7 linked regions of the Xenopus tropicalis genome follow. The protein of the gene in region 1 purifies or fractionates together with the protein of each later gene. This does not show direct contact. Links are inferred from orthologs where the notes say so. Each region holds a gene or a part of one and is shown in the gene's direction. Other genes may lie near its edges.

Region 1 (3,500 bases):
CAGTACAAAATATTTACAGCACTTTAATTGTTCTATGGTGCTCAGCAGAGTGGTTTTTAAACCTGTGGGAAGTATGGCCAATATATGCCATGCTGAGTTTAAATGTTAACATGTATATGATACATGAAATATTTGATATAAATGACATTTTAACATTTATTTCCCATTGTTATCTATAAATCAGTTGTATATAGTTGGTCCAAACCTATAAGTTGTACATAGGCACACATTTCACCTTACAACAGTACTTGGCTAATGCCAGCACCCACACTGATATACTTTCTATGAAACAAGGAAACACTAATCGGACACTATTACAGCAATAACTATCAAGCATGGAAAGTGTACATAAAAAACCTATATGAACAGTAAAAATCAATACAAAGCAAAAGCTACAATACTAAGTGTAATAAACACAGAATACTACATAATCAAGCCTAACTGCAATAGAAAATGATGCTGAACACAGCATATGAAATTAGTTATACATTGCTGTATAGCAAAATATAATATATATCCTAAAATGGCAAAACTATGTGTGATTTACCTCAGTTGTTGAACAGTTTAAGGCATTTGTATCTGAGTTCCATTTTTTTTAGGTGTAATACATTCTTGCTCGTGCAAACAGTCCCCGCTCTTGGACATACGTGTGTGCGTTCCCGTGTGGCTGCTCGCTATCGCTCGCACCCCCACCCCCCCGTGACGTCAGGGGGCACCACGTCGCGACGGGGGTTACGGCGAACGCGCAGTCGCGCTTCTTGCACGAACGTATGTCCAGGAATTCGGACTGCACGAGCAAGACTGTATTAGAGTGTGGAGTGCTGGCGCAGGAGCCCATGCACGTGTATCCAGGGGGGGGTTTGAGTGCACGTTAAAGCGCGAAGGTATGCCCAGGAGAGGGGGTTCAAATAATCATTACCGCATATACTCCAGCCTACGCAGAATGTCCAGGGGAAGGGGGTTCAATAAATAATTAACGTATAAAATAGGTATGTCCAGGGGAGGGGGTTCAATATATATACTCGAGTATAAGCCGAGGTGGCCTTTTTGAGCTCATTTTGGGAGCTGAAAAACTCGGCTTATACTCGAGTATATACGGTAGATGTTTGCCAATGCCATGAAGGTGCCTTCTTCCACACTGTCAGGGATTGGCACATGTTGATTAACATTGGGTTGGAGGAAGGCATGATGGCATTTACAAAAGGATAGCTTACGATGCCAGTTATGTAGGCATAGTCACATGTTCTTGTTAAATTGAGAACATTTTTACTATCCCTTTAATTACCCTAGCGTTCAGTAGCTTTGAGATAGAGATATATATATATATATATATATATAGCTGTGTAACTTTTTCAGTCTGGAAAGAAGTAAAGTATAAATGCTATTACCAAGTAGTTTAAAGTAAATTTTAAGTTGACCTTTCCCTTTAAAGGAACAGTAACACCAAAAAATGAAAGTGTATAAAAGTAACTAAAATGCAATGTGCTGCTGCCCTGCACTGGTAAAAGTTGTGTGTTTACTTCAGAAAGTCTACTATAATTTATATAAATAAGCTATGTAGCCATGGAGGCAGCCATTCAAAGGAGAAAAGGCACAGGCACATAGCAGATAACAGATAAAACACTACTGTACTCTACAGAACTTATCTGTTATCTGCTATGTAACCTGTGCCTTTTCTCCTTTTTTCCAGCTTGAATGGCTGCCCCCATGGCTACACAGCAGCTTATTATATAAATTTACCAGTACAGGGCAACAGTGCATTATATTTTTATTACTTTAAAGCTATTTCATTTTTTGGAGTTACTGTTCCTTTAAGACAAACTCGTTGAAAAAATCAATTGTGCTTTTGACATTTTTATGTTTAGGATCTTTTGTTAGAGATTACTGCAGGGGACATAATATATAACAAACTTATTTGTCACTTTTGGTGCAAAAGAGATGTTGTTAGTTGCAGCAAGGACGTTTTGTGTCTAGTCCTTTCTACTTTAGTACCTTTAGTTTTGAGTGAAGGCAATATATTTGCATTAAAAGACCAGTGTTCTAAAAAAAAAAAAAAAAAAACTAAAAAAAAAAAACCTAAGCTGACTGGTGCAGATTTAAGACTACATTTTAGAGCAAAGACAAATAGGGCGATAAATCTAGTTGCAGAGACTAAATGCTACCTCTAAGTTGCAGTGACTTGTATTGCACAGTCGTGGCAACTTGTATATTTTACACTAGTTAGTTGCTGCGGCTGTGTTTAGTCTCTGTGACTGGGGGTTTCTCGAAAGCTGCAGCTACTTATTGCCCCCTCTGTCTTCACCCATAGCTTTTTACAGTCTGCAAAGTTGTGTTTGAGACTCCCAGTGTCTCTTGGTTTCAAGCTTGTGGAAGTGTTTCCCACTATCCATAAATGCATAGTAAATAGAACCTGGCAACAGGGCTTCCTCATTTAAGGTATATTAATAATTTAATTTTTTTTTTCTATTCTAGATTGACTTGAAGGAACGGACTTTATTCTTAGTTTTGGGCTTTTTTTAATAAAGGAAATTGATTTTGTGCACCAGAGCAAGTGATTTCACTGTTGACAGACTTTAAGGACAAGCACTTGCTTGTGTTGCAATAACAAAGACTCATATATTGAGCAAGACTTTATCTCTTCATTTCGAAGAGTCAAATAAACTTATTACAGTCTCTGTACTGACTTTAAACCTTGTGAAGCTGAAAAGACACACCTTCAAAGGGACAATTTAATTAAATACAAAACAAAATGAGCACCGCCAGAACCGAGAACCCTGTTTTAATGGGTATGTCCAGCCAGAATGGGCAGCTAAGAGGCCCATTGAAACCCAGTGCAGGGCCTGGAGGTGGGGGGACACAGACACAACAAATAAACCAGCTGAAAAATGCCAGCACAATCAACAGTGGCAGTCAGCAGCAAGCACAGAGCATGAGCAGCGTTATAAAGTGAGTATACTCTACCTTTGTTTTATCACCACTTATAAAAACCTTATTTGGGCCTCTGGTTTATCCATGTTTTATTTTTAAGAAAACAAAACATGCTATTCATAATAATGGAAGTGTCCTGAGATGTGTATTTGTAATGTCTAGTCTTTTGTACAATTGCTTAGTCATCTTGGAATCTTCTGCAGGTTTGTGTAGTAGCACTTTGTAGTATATGGCGCTTGTTATTAAAATTGAACTGCATAGTTATTACAGACATGCATTTACAACTGCTGACATGACTTGCCTTTAAATAGTGGCCAGAAGTGGTCTTCAAAGCAAAACTCTATATTGGTTTTGTCTGCACCCTTTTCATACATTGGGCCACAAATCCATTACATCAAATGTCTGTGGTCAAATATGCTCTGGCCATAATAAGCACATAATAGCACAGTCTATTGTTAGGGTAATCTACAAATGTTCATGTATAGGAATAACTTATAACGCAAATATGTGCCATCATACATTTTACTGATGTTTAATAATACATTTGAACTATTTTGTTTACTTGCAGACCT
Region 2 (3,500 bases), on another chromosome or scaffold:
AGAACTTGGCATGTATGTACATAATATTGCGTAATGCTGCACATTACAAGACCCACTCATCCATTGCGCAGCTTGAAAAAGGATAACTTTGCACATACTGCAGTGTACCTGTTCCTTCTTAGAGCACCAGCCATACCTGGCTCTCCTAAACAGGTACATTGTGTGGTGGGGTCACTGAAGCTTGCATTGTGCAGTGACGCTCTGGCTTGCCATGTTCCATTGCATTATATTATTGGTATGATGTGCAGTTCTTTGTATAGCCTTTGTTATTCGGCATCTGTCCAATGTCAGAAGAACTAGGAATCCCAGCCATTTGAAAAGCACAAAATGTTTTCTTTTTAAGTCTCTCCTATTAAATTTTGCAGGTCTAAATTAAATTGGCCCAGTCACTTCTTTTACTTTTTTTTTGCAACTTTTAAAAAAAATAATTTTAAAATGTTTCTTTTTTCCAATTTATTTTATTTATTTAAAATATATCTTTCCACTATTTTGTGTATTTCAGCACCCACATGTATATAGTCCTGTGATACAGGGGAACACAAGAATGATGGCACCACCATCTCATGCACAGGCTGGCCTTGTATCCTCCTCCGCTGCACAGTATGCCACTCCTGAACAAACTCATACCATGTATGGTAAGTACCCAAATATGCAAACTAATCTGCTGTAAACTGTTTATTGCAAAATGTGTTTTTTCTGTTGATCTGTCAATTGTTGAAATTTGAAGCAAACTTGAAAATTATTTGGCCCAGTTAGTATTTTAAGAAGGTTGGACACACTTGAGTTAGGCAGTATTTACTAAAACTATGGTGTTAAATGCATGCCAGTATTTATTCTTTGTTGGGTAGATTAGTGAGTTCAAGCCAACCTGAAGATTAAAAAAAAAAATGCACTGCCTTTTGGTTTAAAATAAGGAATGGATTGTAACTGGAATGCAACTGCACCAGTAGCAAACTGTAGGTATGGGCTCTGTTGTCTGGAATGTTAGGGACCTAGAGTGTTCTGGATGGGGGATTGTTCAGTGATTTTGACCACTACAACTTAAGTCTGCTAAAAATCCTTTAAACATGAAGTAAACCTAGTAGGATTATTTTGTCACTAATATGGATTCATGCAGCCGAGTTACCATTAAGTACAAGCTACTGATTTATTATTTGCTTAATATTGAGTCTATGGGAGATGTCCTTCCTGTAACCTGCAGTTTTCTCAATAACCGTTTTTTTCAGATAAGGCATGTCATCCCTATACCTTTACACTGTTATAAATATGCAACCATGGTCTGGTCACAGTGCATCCCTTGATAAATATTACTCTAACATTAAGTGCTGTTTTTATTGGGGGATAAATATATTAATGGGTACAGAGTGTTACACCTCCATTGTTCGTTTAACATGCATGGTAACATCCGTAGACCTTTTTGTCTTTAGAAAATGGTACAGTTTTCAATTTTTTTTTTTTTTTTTTTTTTTTATACTTTTAGTTTCAACTAGCTCATTAGCACAGCAGTATGCTCACCCAAATGCAGCCCTGCACCCACACCCACCTCATCCTCAGCCTTCAGCAACTCCTACCGGCCAACAGCAAAGTCAACATGGGGGAAGTCACCCAGCTCCAAGTCCAGTTCAGGTGAGCTAATGGAGTTGTTTGAACGTGCATCTCTTGAACTTTGTGTGTGTTTCTGATACTGTATGTTGTGGTCTTAGTCGATGGTGAAGGAGAGGATGCTCGTAAGTTTACTTCCTTTCCAGTAAATTGTTAGATTTTCTATATTTTCCATATTTAACAAGCCACCCCCAGTTTCCCTATGTCCTATTGCTGGGTATGGTATAAATTTTGAATCTTAACTGGCCATTTTAATAGATTTCATGTCTTACTGTGCCTCTTTGCCTTTGGATGAATACATCATCCAGTCACTGCCCCAGTGGAGCCTACAGTCTAAGGTCTCTATCACATTCACTATGGTCAGTTTAGAAGGAACCAGTTGATCTGCCTGTATGTTTGAGTGTGGGAGGAAACCTACACATATTTACAAACTTCTTAATTTGCACCTTTTTAGGGGGTGTTGTCACACTTAAATTTTTAAATAAATTCTTATCTTATTGTGTAATTGTTTGCCTGCCTGCCTGTATGTATGAATAAATTAATATATTCCTAAACCCCCCCCCCCCCCCCCTTGCTTTGCTAAATGATTACAGCACCATCAACATCAGGCATCACAAGCTCTGCATCTGGCTAACCAACAGCAGCAGTCTGCAATTTACCATGCAGGACTTGCTCCAACGCCCCCTGCCATGACACCAGGCTCCAACGCACAGTCCCCACAAAGCAGCTTCCCAACTCAACAGACTGTGTTTACCATTCACCCATCACATGTCCAAGCAGCATATACCAATCCGCCTCACATGGCCCATGTGCAACAGGTAATCAGTTATGTGTAATTTCATAATGGTATAAATAATCCGTGTACAATGCAATAATTGTTGGTCTTCAAAGCTCTTCAAGCTTTAATCTGTGTCTCATCTATCTATCTCTATATATCTATCTATCATCTATCTATCTCTCCTTTAAATATGTTTGTAACATGAGAGATATTCTGGAAACAGACCTGTGATGTTATCTGATAAAAAATATTTCATGCATTTTGTGATCAGAATAAAATCCTTTTTTTTATAAAAGGGGTTACCGGTAAGTGAAGACAGTAGTAATAACACACCTGGGATTTTCTCTGGTTATAGTGCAACATTTATACATTCCTATAAATGTATTAATGCAGGCACATGTACAGTCTGGAATGGTTCCTTCTCATCCAACTGCTCATCCCATGATGTTGATGACTGCTCAACCACCTGGGGGGCCTCAAGCTGCTCTTGCTCAAAGTGCCCTACAGCCCATTCCTGTCTCAACTGCACACTTTTCCTATATGACACATCCTCCAGGTTAGTAGTTTGGCCTCTTATGTGGCCATGAGCATTAGTCAAAACTGAGGAAATGGTTATGTTTTTTTCGCTTCAGTTATTCTTGCCATAATGGCAAGGCAGTTTTAAACACTCCTGCTGTTGAACCTTTTTATAAAGCTGCTGCTAAAGAACTTCTGAGTATCAGCCTTTTCTCTGGTGACTTTTGTCTGTAAACCCATTCTAATGACTTCACTGGTATGTGAAAATGGCTTACAGATCATAACTGCAAACAGTTAACTTTGAGTAGCTATTACTTGCTCAAGCATGAAGACGGTGCTGCACAAATTCCAACAGAACAGAATAGGAATGGAGCTTACAACCATCGTCACCATAAGTGAGCACTGAAATGAACACAGCCTGGCTGAGCTGTTACAGAAAAGCTATTGTGTAGCAGCTTTTCAAAAGTAACGGCAGAGAAGATTTATTTCAAAGTTGGTTTTTATTTGCCCTTTAAAAACTCTGTAGTCTTCATTTTGTAGAAAATGTATTCTATTTGCATGAATTTACAGTTGTCTATTTTATTTAATATTTTATATTCAAACC
Region 3 (4,159 bases), on another chromosome or scaffold:
TGTGGGTTCTTGCCCTTATGAATAGGTTATTTTCCAAAAAAATCTTTCTATGTCCTGATAAGAGGCTGCCATGGTGATAACCTATAATGGGCATCTTGTACATGTAAATGGAATAGATTGCATGGTTGAGGTAAAAGAGCTATAAGACTATCCAATGATATGTAAGGGAAATGCTTTTTATCACCATGACCACCTGGAAATAGTGTGCCAGAGGAAGTATATAAGTGACAATGGGCAGCCGCAGACATCGTTTTGCTAGTGCAATTACCTGTATAGTAATGTGTGCAAGCACAGTAAGAGCCAACGCCAAGTCACTCCGGCTAACACACAACTCAGGAGACATAGTTGGGAGGAAGTGATGTCATTGCACATGTTCATTACATCACACAGAATGTGAGGTTGTATATGTCACCATGGAAATTTGAAAATGCTAATATGGACAAAAGAACCTTTAGGGCTGTGACACATGGAGAGATTAGTTACCGTGCAACAAATCTCCCTTGTCACGGACAACCTAACTCCCCGAAATGCCGTCCCACCAGCTAGAATGTAAATCGCCGGTGGGATGGCATATCGGGGAGATTAGTCGCCCACAGCAAGGGAGATTTGTTGCACTGCGACTAATCTCCCCGTCTGTCACGGCCCTTAAGGCTGCCATACACGGGCCGATTGTAGCTGCCGATATCGGTCCCTTGGACCGATTTGGCAGCTTATCGGCCTGTGTAGGGGCAGAAACAACGGCCATACCTGTCCGATATCTGGCCTGAAATTGGCCAGATATCAATTGGGCAGGTTAAAAGATTCAGTCAGATCGGGGACCGCATCAACAAGCCGATGCAGAACCTGGGATAGCATTTCAGGAGATTGGTCGCCCGCAACAAGGGAGATTTGTTGCACCGTGACAAATCTATGTTTACATTCGTGCGCCCTAAACACACCCTGATAGTATTTACAATGCAACCAATTATGACACGCTACAAATGGGCACAAATTGAGCACCCATAGAAACCATTCATATAACTGGTATTTGCATGTATAAAAGCTACTATGGTGCCCACGCAAAGATACTTGGAAACCCCGGACTTAGCACCAGTATGGACACTGACACAACTCAGGCTATTGCACCATAAGCAAACTTTGCCCCACACACTGCCTTCATAATTTCCAGCAAGCACAAAAACAAGACGCGGAAAAGCACTGCATATGTCTAACTTTTTAATGGTTCTACTACATGGAACATTAGTAACCAGAGCATCGCTCTAACTCGCCCGGCATCTCTTATACCATGTGACCACCGCTAAGGGGCGCGTCATTTATTAGCGGAGGCCTGCCTCTTCTGATGTCATTTCCGTTCGGGGCCTGGTCAGCTGGGAACCGGAGAAATACAGCAGAAGGGTGAGAAAGCGGAAGTAACGGAACCTCCAAAAGGGAACGGGCTGTATAAATTGGCACATTTACATGCGCTTAGTTGATGTTTCTCATTGTAGCCCTCATTCTCCGCGCTTATGCGGTTTGCTGTGCCGCTTTTATTGTCTCTAGCGCTCCCCGCTTGGCGTCCCTAGCGCTCCAGCTGGCGAGTCACAGCCGGGGGTTTCAGCCTGTCTCACTGTGCTTGTAGGGCGACGCTAAGAATGAGCGGAATCCTTTCCAAATACCAAGTGGGCTTTGATAGGTCATTTTATTTGAAGTGTGTGAGGCTGCGCGGCGGGACCCATGGCTCCACAGTACGTGCCCGGCGGCATGGCCTGGGATTGGGATGTTTCTTACCTGGGAATTCTCACCCTTTCAAAATATTTCGTAAATATCCTATAGCAGGAGGCTGGTGCTTGATTGGGGACTGGTGGCTGATTAATGTCTGTGGGGCAGGATCTGGCTGTGTTACCCTAGGGCTTTGGTTGGAGAGATCTTTGTTATGGTTGCAGCCTGGTACCTTTCCAACCAAATCGCCATGGAGATGTGGGAAACACATAATTGCTAATCAGCTAATCGGCTCTATTTCCCCAGTAATCCCCTGGTGGTGACAGAAACAACAGAAGTTCAAGAAAGTTGATAAAGTGTTTGTGCTTGTGACACACAGGGAAACACTACATTCAGCCCTCTCCGATGGAATCTGCAGCTTATCTGCTGTGTATAACAGATATCCTGATGGAGATCTATCGGCAGGTTTAAGAATCCCATTGGGGTGAGCAACACATTCGCTTGTCAAGGCTGCGTTCCCCTTGCCTATGATCCAGTGGTTGGCCCGAGGGCCAGGTGGCCGTTTTGGGGAAAGAGCCGCTCCTTCGGCAAGATTGGCAAACAATTGGATCTTTAGGTGTATGGCTGCCTTCTAAGTGCTAGTATGCATGTAGACTGAAGGTTTGAAAATTAGAACTAGTCGTAGTTATTTGGTGCCACGTTTCATTTTTTTTTGGTACTTGTCTATTATACTGTGTAAGGCTAATGCCACACGTGGGTGTTTATATGCAGGCTGAGAAACCGTCATGCGTGCCACCAGTCTAGTCAGGCAACAGTAAAGATTTGTAATATGGTGTTGCCTGTGCTTTAAGCTTAATGTTATGAATTTTCCTGAAAGGTGATGGGTTTGTGCTTAGGGATGAGATGCAGATGTGTTTGTGAGTGCAAAATGTAACCAACTAATAAATAGTAGGAGCAACTAATGCATTTAATAATTCACAATCAATTAAGATGGCCTAAAGGTGCCCATACACTATAAGATCCGCTCGCTTGGCGATGTCGCCAAGCGAGCGGATCTTCACCCGATATCCCCACCTACAGGTGGGCGATATCGGGTAGAAACTAGCTTAAAAAAAAAATAATCCGGCCCTGGGGCCAAACAATCGGATTACATTTGTGGTTATGGGGCAGTCGGTTCGGGGACCGCATCAACGAGCCGATGCGGTCCCCGATCCGACTGGATTTTTTAACCTGGTCGATCAACATCTGGCCAATTTCAGGCCAGATATCGGTCCCAAGGCCGCTCTGTTCTGCCCATACACGGGCCGATTAGCTGCCGAATTGGTCCAAAGGACCGATATCGGCAGCTATAGTCGGCCCGTGTATGGGGACCTTTACATGGGCCAATTCTAGCTGCCGATATTGGTGCCTTAGGCCGATTCGCTAGCTTATCAACCCATGTATGGACACTAATGACGGGCCTGCCGATCGGGCAGGTTTGAAATTTAGTGGAATTGGGGACTGGATTGGCTCATTGATGTGGTCCCCGAATCGGCTGACGCCCATACCTGTTGTTGTAATTTGATTGTTTGACCCCAGGGCCAAACGACCGAATTAGCCCGATATCGCCCATCCGCCAAACGAGTGGATCTTAGTTTGTATGGCCACTTTAAGACTGTTTATAAAAAGAGAAGAATTATATTATGACTCCATATAATTTTATCTTTATATACTTTCTTACAGTAACCTTAAGAGTGAAGGCAGAGCTACTAAGTAGCAGCTACATGTCACTGCTACTAAGCGCCAGAAAATACCCTGCCATAGACAATGAGAATTGCCTTTGCTAAAACAAAGACGATTATCCGTAAATGATCAGCATTGTCTATTTTAGTAGCAATGACAAGTAGCTACTGCGAGTAGGTCTGTGTCTTCACCCATAATAGAGCAGCTACTTAATGTACAACTAAACTAAGTTTTACAGACTGCAGCCAGATCAAGGATGAAGTAGAGATGGATAATGAAATGGTAATGTAGTGGGGGGATCTTTAATGGAGAAGGATCTGGGGATCTTTGTAGATAACAAGTTGTCTAATTCCAGGCAGTGTCATTCTGTGGCTACTAAAGCAAATAAAGTGCTGTCTTGTATAAAATGGGCATTGACTCAAGGGATGAAAACATAATTTTGCCTCTTTATAGGTCCCTGGTAAGGCCTCACCTTGATTATGGGGTGCAGTTTTGGGCTCCAGTCTTTAAGAAGGATATTAATGAGCTGGAGAGAGTGCAGAGACTGCAACTAAACTAGTAAAGGGGATGGAGACATAAGCGCTCACAGAAAAGCTGCACTCCTCTATCAAAAGAAACACAGGGTTTCTTGTCTCCTTTTTTTTGTAAACCTGTTTTTTGGGCATCTGACTTCCTCTCTCAGAAAAATTCTCCATTCCTGGAGGCTATGCTGCTCTCTCCCTCCTCCTGCTCCCCCCCT
Region 4 (3,500 bases), on another chromosome or scaffold:
TTATACATATGGGTAGGAGGTGCCATAGTGTTTCCCTTAGACAGTACAGTATGGGGGTACAGCTTATTGTGTGCCCAGAACATTCCTTCTCTGTATATTTGTATTTATACATATGGGTAGGGGGTGCCATAGTGTTTCCCTTAGACAGTACAGTATGGGGGTACAGCTTATTGTGTGCCCAGAACATTCCTTCTCTGTATATTTGTATTTATACATATGGGTAGGAGGTGCCATAGTGTTTCCCTTAGACAGTACAGTATGGGGGTACAGCTTATTGTGTGCCCAGAACATTCCTTCTCTGTATATTTGTATTTTTACATATGGGAGGGAGGTGCCATAGTGTTTCCCTTAGACAGTACAGTATGGGGGTACAGCTTATTGTGTGCCCAGAACATTCCTTCTTTGTATATTTGTATTTATACATATGGGAGGGAGGTGCCATAGTGTTTCCCTTAGACAGTACAGTATGGGGGTACAGCTTATTGTGTGCCCAGAACATTCCTTCTCTGTATATTTGTATTTATACATATGGGTAGGGGGTGCCATAGTGTTTCCCTTAGACAGTACAGTATGGGGGTACAGCTTATTGTGTGCCCAGAACATTCCTTCTCTGTATATTTGTATTTGTCCAATCAATAATATGTAGACCCACACTGATTATCAATATTTGCCGCCTTCATATGGTACATTATAGCCCAGTCCCACATGGTCCATTTTGGGTTCAGTAGGAACATGTGGATAATAATTTCCAATTACTCACAGAGTTTATTCTGTGAGTGGAAGGTCTTCCTTGGGGGACGTTACTCGCTGCTAATTCTCACCCCATATTTATATAGCCCTGACATGTATACGCAGAGCTTTACAGGCCTTTCCCTTACTACTCTATGCTGGGAGATGCCCAATCACATACACAGAGCTGCTGCACAGGGAATGCTCAGTGGCTCTTAAGTAACACAGCAGAACCAGTGCCACTGGGCACATCCGGGCAATGTCATAAAAATAAGACTTTTAATATCCCTTATATTTCCATTCCCAGCTTAACTCAGCAGGAGCAACTGAAAGCCCAACAGGGAGCTGCCAGCGGAGTCTCTCCAATGCCCCTGGGCACAGGGGATGGGAAGGGGGCAGATATACTGCAGATGTTAACCAAAGCCAAGGATGAGTACACCAAGGTGAGTGTGGAGAATACAATCCCGTATATCTGTCTGTCTGTCTATCTATCTGTCTGTCTGTCTGTCTTTCTGTCTGTCTATCATCTATCTATTTAATCTGTCTATCTATCATCTATCTATTTAATCTATCTATCTAGCTATCTGTCTATAATCTCTCTATCTGTCTGCCTATCTGTCTATCTGTCTATCTATCTATCTATCTATCTATCATCTATCTATTTAATCTGTCTATCTAGCTGTCTATCATCTATCTATCATCTATCTATTTAATCTGTCTATCATCTATCTATTTAATCTGTCTATCTAGCTATCTGTCTATAATCTATCTGTCTGTCTATCTATCTATCTATCTATCTATCTATCTATCTATCATCTATCTCTCTATATCTAGCTCTCTCTTAGTAGGTCTTCCACTGGCATATTATTGAGTTCTGTCTATCATCTATCTATTTAATCTATCTATCTAGCTATCTGTCTATCATCTATCTATCTGTCTATCATCTATCTATCTGTCTCTATCTATCTGTCTATCTATCTATCATCTATCTCTCTATATCTAGCTCTCTCTTAGTAGGTCTTCCACTGGCATATTATTGAGTTCTGTCTATCATCTATCTGTCTGCCTATCTATCTATCTATCTATCTATCTATCATCTATCTATCATCTATCTATCTATCTATCTATCTATCTATCATCTATCTATTTAATCTGTATGTCTGTCCATCTATCTATCTATCTGTCTGTCTGTCTATCTGTCTGTCTATCTATCTATCATCTATCTATTTAATCTGTCTATCTATCTAGCTGTCTATCTAGCTGTCTATCTGTCTATCATCTATCTATCATCTATCTATTTAATCTGTCTATCTATCTGTCTATCATCTATCTATCTATCTGTCTATCATCTATCTATCTGTCTCTATCTATCTATCATCTATCTCTCTATATCTAGCTCTCTCTTAGTAGGTCTTCCACTGGCATATTATTGAGTTCTGTCTATCATCTATCTATCTGTCTGCCTATCTATCTATCTATCTATCATCTATCTATTTAATCTATCTATCTATCATCTATCTATCATCTATCTCTATCATCTATCTATTTAATCTGTCTGTCTGTCCATCTATCTATCTATCTGTCTATCTATCTATCTATCTATCTATCTATCTATCTATCTATCTATCTATCTATCTATCTATCATCTATCTATTTAATCTGTCTATCTATCTAGCTATCTGTCTATAATCTGCCTATCTGTCTATCTATCTGTCTATCTGTCTGTCTATCTGTCTGGCTATCTGTCTGTCTATCTGTCTGTCTATCTGTCTGTCTATCTGTCTGTCTATCTGTCTGTCTGTCTGTCTGTCTGTCTGTCTGTCTGTCTGTCTGTCTGTCTGTCTATCTGTCTGTCTATCTGTCTGTCTATCTGTCTATCTATCTATCTATCTATCATCTATCTCTCTATATCTAGCTCTCTCTTAGTATGTCTTCCACTGGCATATTATTGAGTTCTGTCTATCATCTATCTATCTGTCTGTCTGTCTATCTATCTCTATCATCTATCTATTTAATCTCTCTATCTATCTATCTATCATCTATCTCTGTCATCTATCTATAAAATCTATCTATCTATCAATCTATCATCCATCTATCTATCTATCTATCTATCTATCTATCTATCTATCTCTCTATATCTAGCTCTCTCTTAGTAGGTCTTCCACTGGCATATTATTGAGTTGACAATACAGTGACTTTTTGTATATGCTGGAACAGTGGCAGTGGCCAAATTACTAAAAAAATATGGTTGCCTGTTTAAAGGAAAACTAAGCCTACTACGAGTCAGGAAACTGTTGGTTTCAGAAAGCAAGTGCAAATGTTTCCGTACCCACTTGTGAGAGATGGAAGTGTCTGATTGTTGTGTTTCTTTGCACAGTGCAAGTCGTGCTCCGAGCCCAAGATGATCACCAGCTCATCGGCCATCTACACCAACCCCAACCTCATCAAGCCCATTGCTGTTAAACCCAGTGAGTCCCAGCCGGGAAAGGTGAGAGCGTTAGAGGTGAGAGCAGTAGGGGCTTAGGGTTGTGCTTTCCTAACTGTGACCCACCTAGAAGGGAGCAGTGGCCTACCCTAAAGGTCCCCATACACGGGCCGATAGTAGCTGCCGATATGGGTCCCTTAGACAGACTCGGCAGCTAATCGGCCCCTGTAGGGGCACTAACGACTGGCCTGCCCGACCAATTTCTGACCTGAAATCGGGCAGATATCGATCAGGCAGGTTAAAAAATCTAGTCGGATCGGGGACCGCATCGGCTCGTTGATGCAGC
Region 5 (4,156 bases), on another chromosome or scaffold:
ATGTGGACCCTGAGCCAAAAAGTTTGCCCACCCCTGGGTTAACTTCTCAGAGGCACCCCACCCAGTTTGGTTTTAGTTCGAGAAGTTACAACACCATTCGTTTTCCTTATGTATACATCTTTTGACTTTTACTTTACACCTCCCAGCAGCTCAGGACTCTGAGAAAGCAAGACCCCGACCCGCACAACCCCCCTAACGCCCTCCCATTACCTCCTCCCCCCTTCCCTAAAGGAATGATACACAATGAATCATACTTGTATACTTTATTGATGTAACCACACACAACTTTGTGAATCATTGACTGTAATGTTTTATGATCAATAAAAAAGTTAAAATACAAAAAAAAAAAAAAGAAATTGTGGGATTCTTTCCCTGAAGGGCTGGTAATGGCAGATACATTAGATAGCACTAGGAAAGGGTTGGGCGCCTTCATATCAGTGGAAAAATACAAGGTGTGTAACATTGAAAGTGACCATACACGGGCCAATTTCATCTGCCAATAATGGTTCTTTAGACCAATTCAGCAGCTTATCTGCCCAAGTTTGGGCACCCGACCAACATCTGGCTGAAATTGGCCAGCTTTCAATTGAGCAGGTTTGATATTTCTGTGGGATCCGACAGTGCCTGTTACTGCCGTCTAACCACCCGTCGGTGGGCATATTGGGGGAAGATCCTCGCCAAACAATCAGATCTTAAGTGTATGGCCACCTTAACTGTTAGCCCAGGTCCATCCATGAGAAGAAATAATCTATACACTGCTGTCTGGTTACTGGGTACCACTCACCTTAGCAACCAGACAGTATTTTACATTTCCAAAAGAAATCAAATAATAAAGAAATTCTAAAAAAAAAAATGCCCTTCAAATATTGGTCACAAACGCAGAACCGTATAGTCATTATATTTATTACAGGGTGTATGGCTTATGGGGCTGCTCAGCCTAACAGACAAAATGCAGATGACGAAGACCAGACATAAACAGTCCATTGTCCGTCAATGTAATCGCTTTAAGCCCTCGGATAAACACAGTTCGCGGGCAAAGGCAAAGTTTAGCGCTTTATCGATTTGCCCATACCCAATATGGCAGAGCACTCACTTCCGGCGAGTAACCCAGCGCCGCTCATTATTGTTGAAAAATAACCAAACCCGCCGCGTCTGGCCCCGCCCCCTCCCCCTTATTTCTATTACAAGCTAAAGAGGAAAAAAGCTCCGCCCAGCAACAGCCGCTTTCCCTTTTCTCCCCGGCCAGAGCTCCGCCCGCGTCGTGTGACGTCACCCCCTTCCCTCCAATGCGCCGAGTTCCCGCCCCTTGACGTTGCGTGTCCCGCCCCCCAGCCTCTGTCCGCCGGCCGTTTTCCCCTCAGTTCATGTCGCGCAAAAGAAAGAGAAAAAAAAGGAAAGAAGCGAGAGAAGCGAGAGGCGGGAACTCGGCGTATTCCCTCCCACACACCGTGCCTTACACCATGGAGCCCTAACGGACTGACTGGCCGCTCTCTGAGGGGTTCTGTGCACAGCGAAGGGGGCGGGACTGGCTGCGTTACCCCCTGTGTCTGGAACTTTATTTTCCCCCTCGCACTTCGCTCTTGGGGCCGCAGACATGTACGCCGGGGCCGGGCCGGGTGAGTTAGCGCTGCTTTATCCCAATCCCACTGCGCTGGGAGAGTCAGGGCCCTAGAAGCCCTGGAAACGGCGGGAGGGCCGCCTGGTCACATGGGGAGCCGGAGTGGGGGTCATTCCAACTTGTGCCTCTCCACCTGTCCTTCTACTCTCCAGCTGCTAGGAATGCTGGGAGCTGTAGTTCAGCAACAAGTGGTGACAGAGGGGGACTATCAGTTTGCAGTTGGTCTTTATTTTCATGATATTGTGTGTTTAACTGTTTTAGTGCTGCATTTCAATGCTGACCTAGGAACCCTAAATTGTAGTATGGAGGCTGGGCATATATTGTTTATTATGTATCTTTCTATTGGGTTTCCCCGTATGTTTATCATTTGTCATTCAGACTGCGGTGTAGTTGCTAGGGAACGTGGGGCCTTAGTAACCAGGCAACCATTTTAAATTCCTAGCCGGAGAACAAATCGCAAGTCATTAAAAAGCAGGAAAACTAAAAAAAAACACAAGTGCGAGTTGTAGTAGGAATACTTTGTCTGAGGGGTCCCCAACCTTTCTTACTTGTGAGACACAGCCAAATGTAAAAAGACTTGGGGAGCAACACAAGCACCATAAATGTTCAGCCAAATAAGGGCTGTGATTGGCTATTAGGCACCTCTATGCACCCTATCAGCTTACAGGGGCTTTATTTGGTAGGAAATCTTGTTTTTATTCAACCAAAACTTGCCCCCAAGTCAGGAATTCAAAAATAACTCCCTGGTTTGGGGGCACTGAGAGCAACATCCAAGGGGTTGGGGAGCAACATGTTGCCCTGAGCCACTGGTTGGGGATCACTGTACTAAAGGCAATGTTAGGGTGAGCTGCTACTCCGACTAACAGATTGTGGATTCATTTTAATTGTGAGCGTTTTGTCCTACGTAATTGTGACCCAGACACTCTTGCATGTGTAACTATGAGCAGCGCTGGTAAATTGGATTCATCTGAAGGAAAAAAATTGCAAACCAGTAGGTAAAGGTGGCCATACACCTTCAGATTCGCTCGTTTGGCGATGTGGTCAAGCCAGCGGATCTTCTCCCAATATCCCCCACCTACGGGTGGGCGATATCGGGAGAATCTAGGCTAATTTGACTTGAATTATAACGACGGGTATAGGCAAAGTCGGTCCGGGGACTGCATCAACTAGCCAATGTGGTCCCCGATCCAACTAGATTTTCTAACCTGCCCGATCGAGATCTGCCCGATTTCAGACCAGATATCGGTCGGGCAGGCCCGTCGGTAGTGCCCATACACGGGCAGATTAGCTGCCGAATCGGTCTAAGGGACCCATATCAGCAGCTAGAATCGGCCCGTGTATGGGGACCTTAAAACTCACTCAGTAGCACGATTCAGCAATGGGTGCACATCCAGCAGGGGCCCCCACTCCTGGACACTTGCAGCCATAATATCAATATAACACCCCAAGCTTGATAGAGAGCCAATAAGGCTCAAAATGTTGCTGTTGCCGTTGTAGTGATAATAGTCATTTTAATGCTATTATGGAGTGCTGCCTGTAACGGTTTTAAAAAATAATTGTATGGTGTTTTAAAGGACAAGGAAACCCATGTGTGTATCATGTACCCCCTGCAGAGGTTTCCATCCCACCCATACTGCCCAGATCTGCCCTGTGCCTGTTAAACAGATGCAGAGTTGTGTAGTGGCAATGGGGGCTGCCATCTTGGGATGCACAACTAGAACTTGGAAAAAACAAAGTGCAGCAAATTTTCTGTATTAAAAATTAGCAATGGCTGCCGTCTCTGGCCGCTTGATGTCCAGCTCTCTTGGGGCGGTTGTTGGCCAGGAGCCTGTGCAGTTGAGGTCAGAATCAGACAGAAGTGGGCACAAACACCAATGCACTAATCTGTGTTTTACTGAAAGGTCTTGGCAAAGAAACAAGGGGGGTAAAGGTGGCAATAAACAGGCCAATTCTAGCTGCTGATATTGGTCCTTTAGACCGATTCGGTGGCTTATCTGCTCGTGTATGGGTACGAACAATGGGCCTCCCCGACTGAGGCCCTGAAATTGGCCAGATGTTTGTGCTGGTTTGGTTTCTCCGTTGGATCATGGTCCGCGTTGGCTTGTTGACGCAGTCCCTGAACCGACAGCACCTTATACCCGCCATTCTTATTCAATCTTTTGGCCCCAGGGCCAAATTAGCCCAATATCGTCCACCCGTGGGTGGGGATATCGGGAGAAGATCCACTCGCTTGGGGAGCGGATCTCACCATGTATGGCTAGCGTAAAGGTGCATGATTTAAACATGGCTTAAGTCACATGATAGTAAGGGTTCTGAATGGGGTTCTGTTAAAAGAAAGGTTTTGTGTGATTGGGCTGCCTGCCATAGTCCAGCATATACTGCTAGTTTGGCTGCTTTTGAATGGGAGCATTGCACGTGTGTTTGTTGCAGGGAAGTTGGAGTGTTAGCTCAGCTGGGGCATTAGCCGGTATCCATTATACATTCTCTGTGCAGTGTTGGGGCTCTGGAATGTACGTGCACCAGTTGTAAGGCTTTCTG
Region 6 (4,168 bases), about 14 Mb from region 1:
AATGTATATATTTCAAAGAAATTAAACTATAATGTACTGCTGCCCTGCACTGGTAAAAGTTGTGTGTTTGCTTCAGAAACATTACTAGAGTTTATATAAACCCTGGTGTGTAGCCATGGGGGCAGCCATTCAAAAGAAGAAAAGGCACAGGTTATATAGCAGCTAACAGATAAATCCTGTAGAATACAATGGTGTCTTATCTGTTATCGGCTATGTGCCTGTGCCTTTTCTCCAGCTTGAATGGCTGCCCCCATGGCTACACAGAAGCTTATTTATATAAACTATAGTAGTGTTTCTGAAGCAAACACCCCAGTTTTACCAGCGCAGGGCCACAGTACATTATATTTCAATTACTTTAAAACACTTTCATTTTTTGGTGTTACTGTTCCTTTAATAGACCAGTAATCAGTCAGTGTTGAACCATGAATTGTCAGCTCATACATCATTATTGATCTGACCTAACCAGTCAGAAAGACTAATTCATATTATTTAATTCTCATTTGCTTTTGTGGAGTTTTATTAAAATTATATGAGATAGATTTTAATGTGTCTTAAACTATCACATTTATATTAGTATTTGCGATGTGCATGCTGTTATTGCAGCTATGGAGCATACTGCAAGTTAGGCTGTGCAAGTGTACTGCTGATGTGACTATTCCCGCTATTATTAAAGCCCATTTATAAAACACTAATATACTCTGCTGTGTAATGTATTTGGGAAAATATAAGCAATAAGGCAGAAATTACACCATTGCGAAGAAACAAACAGAAATCAAGACATGAGGTCGGGGGGGCCTGCCCGTTAGACAATCCGAGGATTAGGAAATAAGCAATACGCCATACTTCCATAAAACCTTGGATTTGGACTCAGCGCCATAACAATAGACAGAGTCCGTTGCCTAAGCACAACCCCTTATATGAGTGATCTGGTATCATTACCTTCAGCTCATAAGGGCTGATGTGCCGGGAAACAGCTGAACTAAACACAAGTCAAATATTGAGGTACCTGCCCAATAGTTTATTGCATTTATCCTACCCCCCACACCTTACACTTTATTGATCACTGTTTATATCAGCCTTAGAGCTCAACAGCTACATCCCATCCAATAATGCAGACGCTAGAGGCAGAGACTAATCCCTCCAATCCTGTTATTGACATCTGCCTTAGCCAATAAGATTACAGAAGGAACACATCCAAACAGAGCGCGTCGATTCTTGATTGACAAGCCATTCGACCATACAACTGCAGAGTTTTTTACTAAACCCGTAGACTGACAAGCCAATTGACCAATAGGATAATAGCCAGGGCGGGATGTCTGCGATGATTAACCCGTCTGTAAGGCCATTGCCAGGCAGTTCGATCGGTAGCGGGAGCGGAGAGCGGACAGCAGGGAGCTCGAAAGGCAGCAGCCCCACCGCCGGCCTGAGTTACCATCAACACCCCGGGGGGAAGTTAAAGCGAGCCAACCGCCGGCCCGAGTCACCACCTCCGAAAGCAGCCAACTTACACCATCAAAGACACAATGAGCAGCGAGGTTGAAACACAACAGCAGCAGACAGTCGCATTGGAGGGCAAGGCCGGCCAGGAACCGGCGGCCACCGTGGGGGAGAAGAAGGTCATCGGTAAGTACGATTGAATTAGCATACGAGAGATGCCTCTCGGACACAGGCAGGGCTGGGTATTTGGCGCGTCAGGCTCAATATGACTACTACTCCCAGCATCCCCTGTGCAGTCACGTTGGTTAAGGCGATTACTAGATATTTGCACAAACAGGCGCGGTTATCTGTTTATTTATAGTGTGAGGGAGCGGTTTTCGCTTTTACTATAGGGCGCGGGTGAGTGGCGGTTACACCGACGTGGAGTGTCGTGCCACGCGGAGTTGTTGGTGACGGATCTCTGCCCCCCCCGGCGCCGTGACATCACCCCCCCCCCCGCAGCGCCGTGACATCATCCCTTCCTGTGTCCTGAGAGGAATAGGGCCTGTAACATGTCCGCCGCCGCCTGCGGCCTACACCCCCCCCACCTCCTCTTTTGTATGCCGCCGCGCCTTTGCTGGGTCCCCAGTAGCGCCTCTGGCCTCACGTTTGCTTTGCAAACATACGGGGGAGTGTGAGGGCCGTGATGGCGCTGGGAATTGGCGGCTCCGTGTGTCCCGGCTGCTCGGGTTGCGGCTCTGGCCCGGCTCCAGCCACGTGGTGTGTGAGTAGTTGTGGCACGGAGCTGCTCGTACCGCCTGGGCCTGAGCGGGAGGGGCATGAGAGCCATTTTAGTCTATCTTTGCACTCGGCTTGCTTAGTAGCAGCCTTTATAGCGCTTGGCAATAAACGGGGATTCTGGGAGTTGTAGTTTTTCATTTGAAAAAAAGAATTGACAACACTCTTATGGCCCCAAATAGCAATGTTTGTTTGCTGATGCCTTTAATTGTAATTCCGTGTGTTTATATAGCAGTGAGTGGGAATGCACACAACCAGTTGCATTACTTTCCCTCAGGAAATGTTGCTACCAGGGCCATGGGATAGGGCTTTGTTTTTGTTCCTCTTCCCCCATCCACCCCCATCCATCCTACTCAATGTAATTACTGTATAGCTGTGCCTGGCCCAGTAGCCATTGAAGTTGTATGTCCAGATAGCCATTAAACTAGCAGTGTTTATGTATTGCTTTGGCTTGTATCTCACTGGCTGCTGATCAATAAGTTGCATGTAACTAGTATTTATAATTTCTAATTATTTTTTTTTGTAAAAGTTAGCTTTCCAAACCACCACCCACCCCCTGTGTTTATGGTGCTACTGTGCTGCCAGAAAGTGATTGCTCTATTGTGCATATTAGATTGATCTTGTGCCTCACTCCAAACTAACGATTTTTTATTTTCTTTCAGCAACCAAGGTTTTGGGTACGGTCAAATGGTTTAATGTGCGCAATGGTTACGGCTTCATTAACAGGTGAGTTCATATTTCTGCCCCAACTTAGATTAGTAATTTGGTAAACTTGTTACAGCCTGCCTGACCCTTCGGGGCCATGCACGTGGTACTTCCCATAAATGCTTGTTTTAATATGGTTTAGCAAGTATATATTCCAGGATATGCGGTTAAGCAATACCAGAAGTTACTTAAATTACTTAACACTTGGGGAAGGCATAGTTTAAAAATGTTTTTATAGAGATGGGGAGCTGCTGTATTGCTTGCTTCCTAAGTAGCACTGCCTACCGGTTTCAGCGCTGTACTTCTATGAATGCCTGTGCCAAGAAAATGATCTTTGCCTGTCGCTGTTGTAGAAATTCAGATACACAACAAAAACAGTAATTGCACCCAGTAGCCAGGGCTGGCATGCTTTAATTCAGCTTTCCCTTATCCTTTCGACTGTATCTTAAGATTTTTCTGCTTTTTGAAAGGAAATGTACTTTTTTCACATAAACCAAATAAATCGGTTTGTTAAAAACAATTATATAAGATGGCTTCTTTCCTAAAATGTCAGAAATGAGCTATATGATGTGGGCTTTATGGAGAAAAAAAGGATGCTGGTTGAAATATATTTTCATTTGCCCATTCTTTGTCTAAAGGCAATGCTTTGTGGTTGGTAGAAAAAATGCCTTTCCAGCATTATTCCTATTTTTGTGCTTATGTTGCCTTTAGTGTTTGACCTATACATATAAATTAATTTGCACAGTACAAGCCTTTAATCTATTTTTGTTTTGTTTAGCTTTGTTGTGCTGTGAAAATTTCTACCTTTTGTCGTTAACATTTTGTTTTTATCCTTATAGGAATGACACCAAGGAAGATGTGTTTGTACACCAAGTAAGTATTCCACTTATCTGGGTTTTTTTTACAGATGTCTAGTCCAATCTAGTATAGAAAATGTATTCTATAACTTCTAATATGGTAACTTGTATTTGAGTATAGTGTTGATCAAAGCGGATTGCCTTGGTGTAATAAAAGAATGCATACTGAATAGAAAGTCATGACTGTTCCACAGTTGGATAGGACATTTTCCTACACCTTTTTATATTGCCATGGAACTAGATAGAGCAAAAGCAGATTTAATCAGTTTTCAGCATTTGTTCAGATTTCTTTTAATGTCTTTTTATTTAAAAAAAAAAATATATTTTTTTTAGACTGCCATCAAGAAGAATAACCCTAGGAAGTACCTTCGCAGTGTGGGAGATGGTGAAAC
Region 7 (4,157 bases), on another chromosome or scaffold:
TACCCACTAACATTCATCTGTGCAGTTGGTCACATTTAAAAGTCAAGAATGTGTTTATGGTTTATAGTTCTATTAAAATCTTTCTTCCAGTCTTCTGCTCAAAGAGCTGCCTGGTTGCTGGGAGCCAGTTAGTCCAGTTAGTTAGACTCTAGCAGCCAGTTAGTCCCAATTCCAAACTAGGTCAAATCATGCAAAAAATATGATGGATATGAAATAAAGATTAACCACAAATTGCTATTTGCCATGTCCTTCTAAAACGTTAATGTCACAGGAACAGTCTCTTTAAACGTTAAAGGGGTGGTTCACCTTTGTTACCTTTTGGTATGTTATAAAACTGCCTAGTCTAAGCAACTTTTCAATTGGTCTTCATTATTTATTTCTTATCGTTTTTGATCTATTTGCCTTTTTTTTCTGCCTCTTTCCAGCTTTCAAATGGGGGTCACTGACCCCGGCAGCCAAAAACCTATTGTTCTGTGAGGCTCCAGTTTTATTGTTATTGTTACTTTTTCTAACTTGTTTTTCTCTCCAATTAAGTTACCATCCTCTCATTCAAATTGCTCCCTAGTCGCTAAGGTAATTTGGACCCTAGCAACGAAGTAGTTGCTAAATCTCCAAACTACAGAACTGCTGAACAAAAATTGAAATAACTAAAAAAAAACCACAAATAATAAAAAATGAAGACCAATTGCAAATTGTCTCAGTATATTACTCTCTACGTCATACTAAAAGTTATCTCAAAAGTGAACAACAATACTAAAACACAAGGATTTTATTTTAATCTTGATTGAATTCTAATCTATAAAGCCGGCCCAATGTTACCGTTGTCTCATCAATTGGGTGGTACAAAAGGTTTTGATCGGGCGCCCAAGCGTTTAGTGGTAGAATTCCTATTGTTTCTACCTCCATATCTGATAATTCAGACCTAAACGTCAACGGGGGGGCAAGAACGACCTGGTCGCAGGAATGATAGTAATTGTAACTTGTATTAAATGCTTAAATGGTGACTGCTGCAAAATCGCTGAACAAAATAGTTATAGTCGGAGCTATATCCCACCAATAATATGGCCGACCATCCACCATTACATACGTCCACTACGCGTTGCGACGCTTGCCGTGCTCTATCGAATTGCTTTTACGTCACCAGTTGCCGGGACTAGCCTTAGCCAATGGCTGCCTGAGACGTCACAGCCCTCCGTAAGGTAAAAAAACACAGGCACACGAATTGCGCAGCAACAAAGCTGCGGGTTCCGCTAAGCCCCACCCCCTGGCGTGTCGGGGCGGGGGAGGGCGGTGCCAGAGGTGTGGGTATAAAAGGTGCAGTAGTGGGCGGCCCCGGGGCAGTCTAGGGGACCCTGAGGAAATATTCGGGAGACAAGAGGGGCCAGAGGCCGAGCCGAGCATCATGAGCTCGGGAACCCCGTACATCGGCAGCAAGATCAGCCTGATCTCCAAGGCTCAGATCCGCTATGAAGGCATCCTGTATACCATCGATACCGAGAACTCCACCGTGGCCCTAGCCAAAGGTGCGCAGCGGGCCCCTCGGGTGCAATAGGGCTGACATTGGGCTTTTGGTCGGGGCAAGGCTGACACTTGCCGATGGCTAGCGGGGGATGCTGGGAGTCGTAGTCGCCAGTCCGGTGGGGGTAGGCGGAGTGTTGTTAGAGCCTGGTGCTTGTGGCGGTAGGTGGGGGGTAATTGGCGCAGGTGGAAAGGGGTAATTGGGGCAGGTGTCGGAGATTTGGGGTAATGTGACCGTGGAGCCCACACTGCCCCCTGCAGGAAGGACTGACCCATTAGCTTCAGCTCGTTAGTGGCCCTGCCTTCTGCCCTGTGATTCGCTGCTGGGTGGGGTAGAATGGTATTATTGTTATGGCTTCCAATTCTCCCACACTGCCCTCTGCTGGTAGGGGCCACTCATAGGGATTGCACTTCCCACCTATTCCCCTCTCTGCCATACCCACCCCAGTCTCTGCCCTTGTGCCCCCCTAGCCACCCCAGTCTCTGCCCTTGTGCCCCCCTAGCCACCCCAGTCTCTGCCCTTGTGCCCCCCTAGCCACCCCAGTCTCTGCCCTTGTGCCCCCCTAGCCACCCCAGTCTCTGCCCTTGTGCCCCCCTAGCCACCCCAGTCTCTGCCCTTGTGCCCCCCTAGCCACCCCAGTCTCTGCCCTTGTGCCCCCCTACCCGCCCTCTTGCCCAGGGGTTCCCAACCTGCTGTCCTCCAGGGCCTTTAGAACTACAACCTCCATCTTACCTGGACAGCAGGGGGAGACAAGATTCTGCCTCCAGTGCACCCCTTATATTATATTACCCGCCCCATACTAGATTCTGCCTCCAGTGCGCCCCTTATATTATACTACCCCCCCATACTAGATTCTGCCTCCAGTGTGCCCCTTATATTATACTACCCCCCCATACTAGATTCTGCCTCCAGTGCGCCCCTTATATTATACTACCCCCCCATACAAGATTCTGCCTCCAGTGTGCCCCTTATATTATACTACCCCCCCATACAAGATTCTGCCTCCAGTGTGCCCCTTATATTATACTACCCCCCCATACAAGATTCTGCCTCCAGTGTGCCCCTTATATTATACTACCCCCCCATACAAGATTCTGCCTCCAGTGTGCCCCTTATATTATACTACCCCCCCATACAAGATTCTGCCTCCAGTGTGCCCCTTATATTATACTACCCCCCCATACAAGATTCTGCCTCCAGTGCACCCCTTATATTATACTCCCCACCTCCACATGCCCTTTTATACTTCTACCCCCTCTCCCTATTGGCAGGGAGCTGCGTGCCTTTCTGGCAGTGCTGCAAAGCCCTGGCACATCCTCCCCTGCTCAGTTTAAAGACATTAAGGCACTAACGAGCTGCGAGTTGCTTGCGTTATAGATTGCAGTGGATCAACCCATCTCTGGGATCCCACAAACTGACATTTCCAGCCAAGTTCCTGCTCAGTCGTTGACTAATCTTCACTCTCTAATTATAATTAGTCCGCTCGTTTGGGACGGAAGATCGCCCGACTGACCGGCCAGCCCCGCCTCGGGAGGAAGTCTACGAGTATATCATTTTCCGCGGCAGCGATATTAAGGACATCACCGTATGTGAACCCCCAAAGGCTTCCCATGCTCTTCCGCAGGACCCGGCTATAGTCCAGGTATGTTGGGCCGGCGCCACTCATGCGCTTGGTCGTTTGAGTCTCCTATTTGTTTAATATGAATCTTTAATATGGTTTAAAGTCTACCTAGCAAGCTGTATTGTGCTGCTCCTGGCTGCTCAGTGCTGGGCTGGCCGGCACCTAGGGCAAGTGGCTGCAGGGGATCCACATACATTTAGAGCACATTGTTGCCCCCATCCCTGATACTCCAATGTGACGTCATTAATAAAGGGTAAGTGAGCTGGGGGGGGGGGTAGTCACATTTCTTGAGCCCCTTCCACCATTTTGTTCCTGGTATTCTTGGACTTTGCTGCTGTATCTGTCTGGCAAGGAAAGGGTTAGGGAGTATTTCTGGCTAATTGAGCGGCGCCGCTGGATTTGGTTCACGTTTATATAACCCTCGTGTCCTAGAATTCCCTGCTGTAGCAAATTTAATGATAGCGAGCGCCAAGGATGAGCGCTGTGGTGGGGGGGGGGTGAGTAAGCAGTAAATAGCTCCTAATGGGTGGGGAGGGGTAATGCCGTGGCTGGGGAGGCGCGGGACTGCCAGGGCAACCGGTTTGGGCCTATAATTAGCCAGGGGGCAATTAGCAGAAACCTAAAAACTGTTTATCAGTGGGCAATGGGCAGCGTAAGCTTGGGAGCCCTGGGTGGCATAAACCTGCCGAGCCGTGGCTAGAGCCTTACCCGCTATGGGCAGAGTAGGCTTGGGAGCCCTGGGTGGCATAAACCTGCCGAGCCGTGGCTAGAGCCTTACCCGCTATGGGCAGAGTAGGCTTGGGAGCCCTGGGTGGCATAAACCTGCCGAGCCGTGGCTAGAGCCTTACCCGCTATGGGCAGAGTAGGCTTGGGAGCCCTGGGTGGCATAAACCTGCCGAGCCGTGGCTAGAGCCTTACCCGCTATGGGCAGAGTAGGCTTGGGAGCCCTGGGTGGTTAATGGGTGCCATAAACCTGCTGAGCCGTGGCTAGAGCCTTACCCGCTATGGGCAGAGTAG

Evidence for each region.
Region 2: the proteins of ddx6 (region 1) and atxn2 purify together in Homo sapiens (affinity purification with mass spectrometry; 6 studies listed by BioGRID and IntAct, counting the BioPlex papers as one, with this or other methods). This does not show direct contact. The link is inferred for Xenopus tropicalis from reciprocal best matches to the Homo sapiens genes DDX6 and ATXN2.
Region 3: the proteins of ddx6 (region 1) and mcrip1 purify together in Homo sapiens (affinity purification with mass spectrometry; 3 studies listed by BioGRID and IntAct, with this or other methods). This does not show direct contact. The link is inferred for Xenopus tropicalis from reciprocal best matches to the Homo sapiens genes DDX6 and MCRIP1.
Region 4: the proteins of ddx6 (region 1) and dcp1b purify together in Homo sapiens (affinity purification with mass spectrometry; 6 studies listed by BioGRID and IntAct, counting the BioPlex papers as one, with this or other methods). This does not show direct contact. The link is inferred for Xenopus tropicalis from reciprocal best matches to the Homo sapiens genes DDX6 and DCP1B.
Region 5: the proteins of ddx6 (region 1) and ago2 purify together in Homo sapiens (affinity purification with western blotting; 5 studies listed by BioGRID and IntAct, with this or other methods). This does not show direct contact. The link is inferred for Xenopus tropicalis from reciprocal best matches to the Homo sapiens genes DDX6 and AGO2.
Region 6: the proteins of ddx6 (region 1) and ybx1 purify together in Homo sapiens (co-immunoprecipitation; 4 studies listed by BioGRID and IntAct, with this or other methods). This does not show direct contact. The link is inferred for Xenopus tropicalis from reciprocal best matches to the Homo sapiens genes DDX6 and YBX1.
Region 7: the proteins of ddx6 (region 1) and lsm14b purify together in Homo sapiens (affinity purification with mass spectrometry; 4 studies listed by BioGRID and IntAct, counting the BioPlex papers as one, with this or other methods). This does not show direct contact. The link is inferred for Xenopus tropicalis from reciprocal best matches to the Homo sapiens genes DDX6 and LSM14B.

What each region holds. Positions count from the first base shown.
Region 1 is NC_030683.2:80,846,744-80,850,243, reverse strand, and holds part of ddx6 (probable ATP-dependent RNA helicase ddx6), read left to right. Parts: intron 1-2,472; 5' UTR 2,473-2,749; coding exon 2,750-2,946; intron 2,947-3,496; coding exon 3,497-3,500.
Region 2 is NC_030677.2:163,145,338-163,148,837, forward strand, and holds part of atxn2 (ataxin-2), read left to right. Parts: intron 1-502; coding exon 503-635; intron 636-1,480; coding exon 1,481-1,626; intron 1,627-2,195; coding exon 2,196-2,420; intron 2,421-2,773; coding exon 2,774-2,936; intron 2,937-3,500. UniProt on the Homo sapiens protein: Involved in EGFR trafficking, acting as negative regulator of endocytic EGFR internalization at the plasma membrane.
Region 3 is NC_030686.2:27,788,063-27,792,221, reverse strand, and holds the start of mcrip1 (mapk-regulated corepressor-interacting protein 1), read left to right. Parts: upstream 1-1,359; 5' UTR 1,360-1,395; intron 1,396-1,440; exon of another isoform or gene 1,441-1,724; intron 1,725-2,077; exon of another isoform or gene 2,078-2,182; intron 2,183-4,159. UniProt on the Homo sapiens protein: The phosphorylation status of MCRIP1 functions as a molecular switch to regulate epithelial-mesenchymal transition. Unphosphorylated MCRIP1 binds to and inhibits the transcriptional corepressor CTBP(s).
Region 4 is NC_030679.2:9,162,395-9,165,894, forward strand, and holds part of dcp1b (mRNA-decapping enzyme 1B), read left to right. Parts: intron 1-1,036; coding exon 1,037-1,172; intron 1,173-3,106; coding exon 3,107-3,232; intron 3,233-3,500. UniProt on the Homo sapiens protein: May play a role in the degradation of mRNAs, both in normal mRNA turnover and in nonsense-mediated mRNA decay. May remove the 7-methyl guanine cap structure from mRNA molecules, yielding a 5'-phosphorylated mRNA fragment and 7m-GDP.
Region 5 is NC_030682.2:146,755,608-146,759,763, forward strand, and holds the start of ago2 (protein argonaute-2), read left to right. Parts: upstream 1-1,356; 5' UTR 1,357-1,594; coding exon 1,595-1,616; intron 1,617-4,156.
Region 6 is NC_030683.2:94,734,004-94,738,171, reverse strand, and holds the start of ybx1 (nuclease-sensitive element-binding protein 1), read left to right. Parts: upstream 1-1,368; 5' UTR 1,369-1,523; coding exon 1,524-1,623; intron 1,624-2,876; coding exon 2,877-2,940; intron 2,941-3,758; coding exon 3,759-3,792; intron 3,793-4,109; coding exon 4,110-4,168. UniProt on the Homo sapiens protein: DNA- and RNA-binding protein involved in various processes, such as translational repression, RNA stabilization, mRNA splicing, DNA repair and transcription regulation.
Region 7 is NC_030686.2:4,395,869-4,400,025, forward strand, and holds the start of lsm14b (protein LSM14 homolog B), read left to right. Parts: upstream 1-1,357; 5' UTR 1,358-1,402; coding exon 1,403-1,523; intron 1,524-2,997; coding exon 2,998-3,161; intron 3,162-4,157. UniProt on the Homo sapiens protein: mRNA-binding protein essential for female fertility, oocyte meiotic maturation and the assembly of MARDO (mitochondria-associated ribonucleoprotein domain), a membraneless compartment that stores maternal mRNAs in oocytes.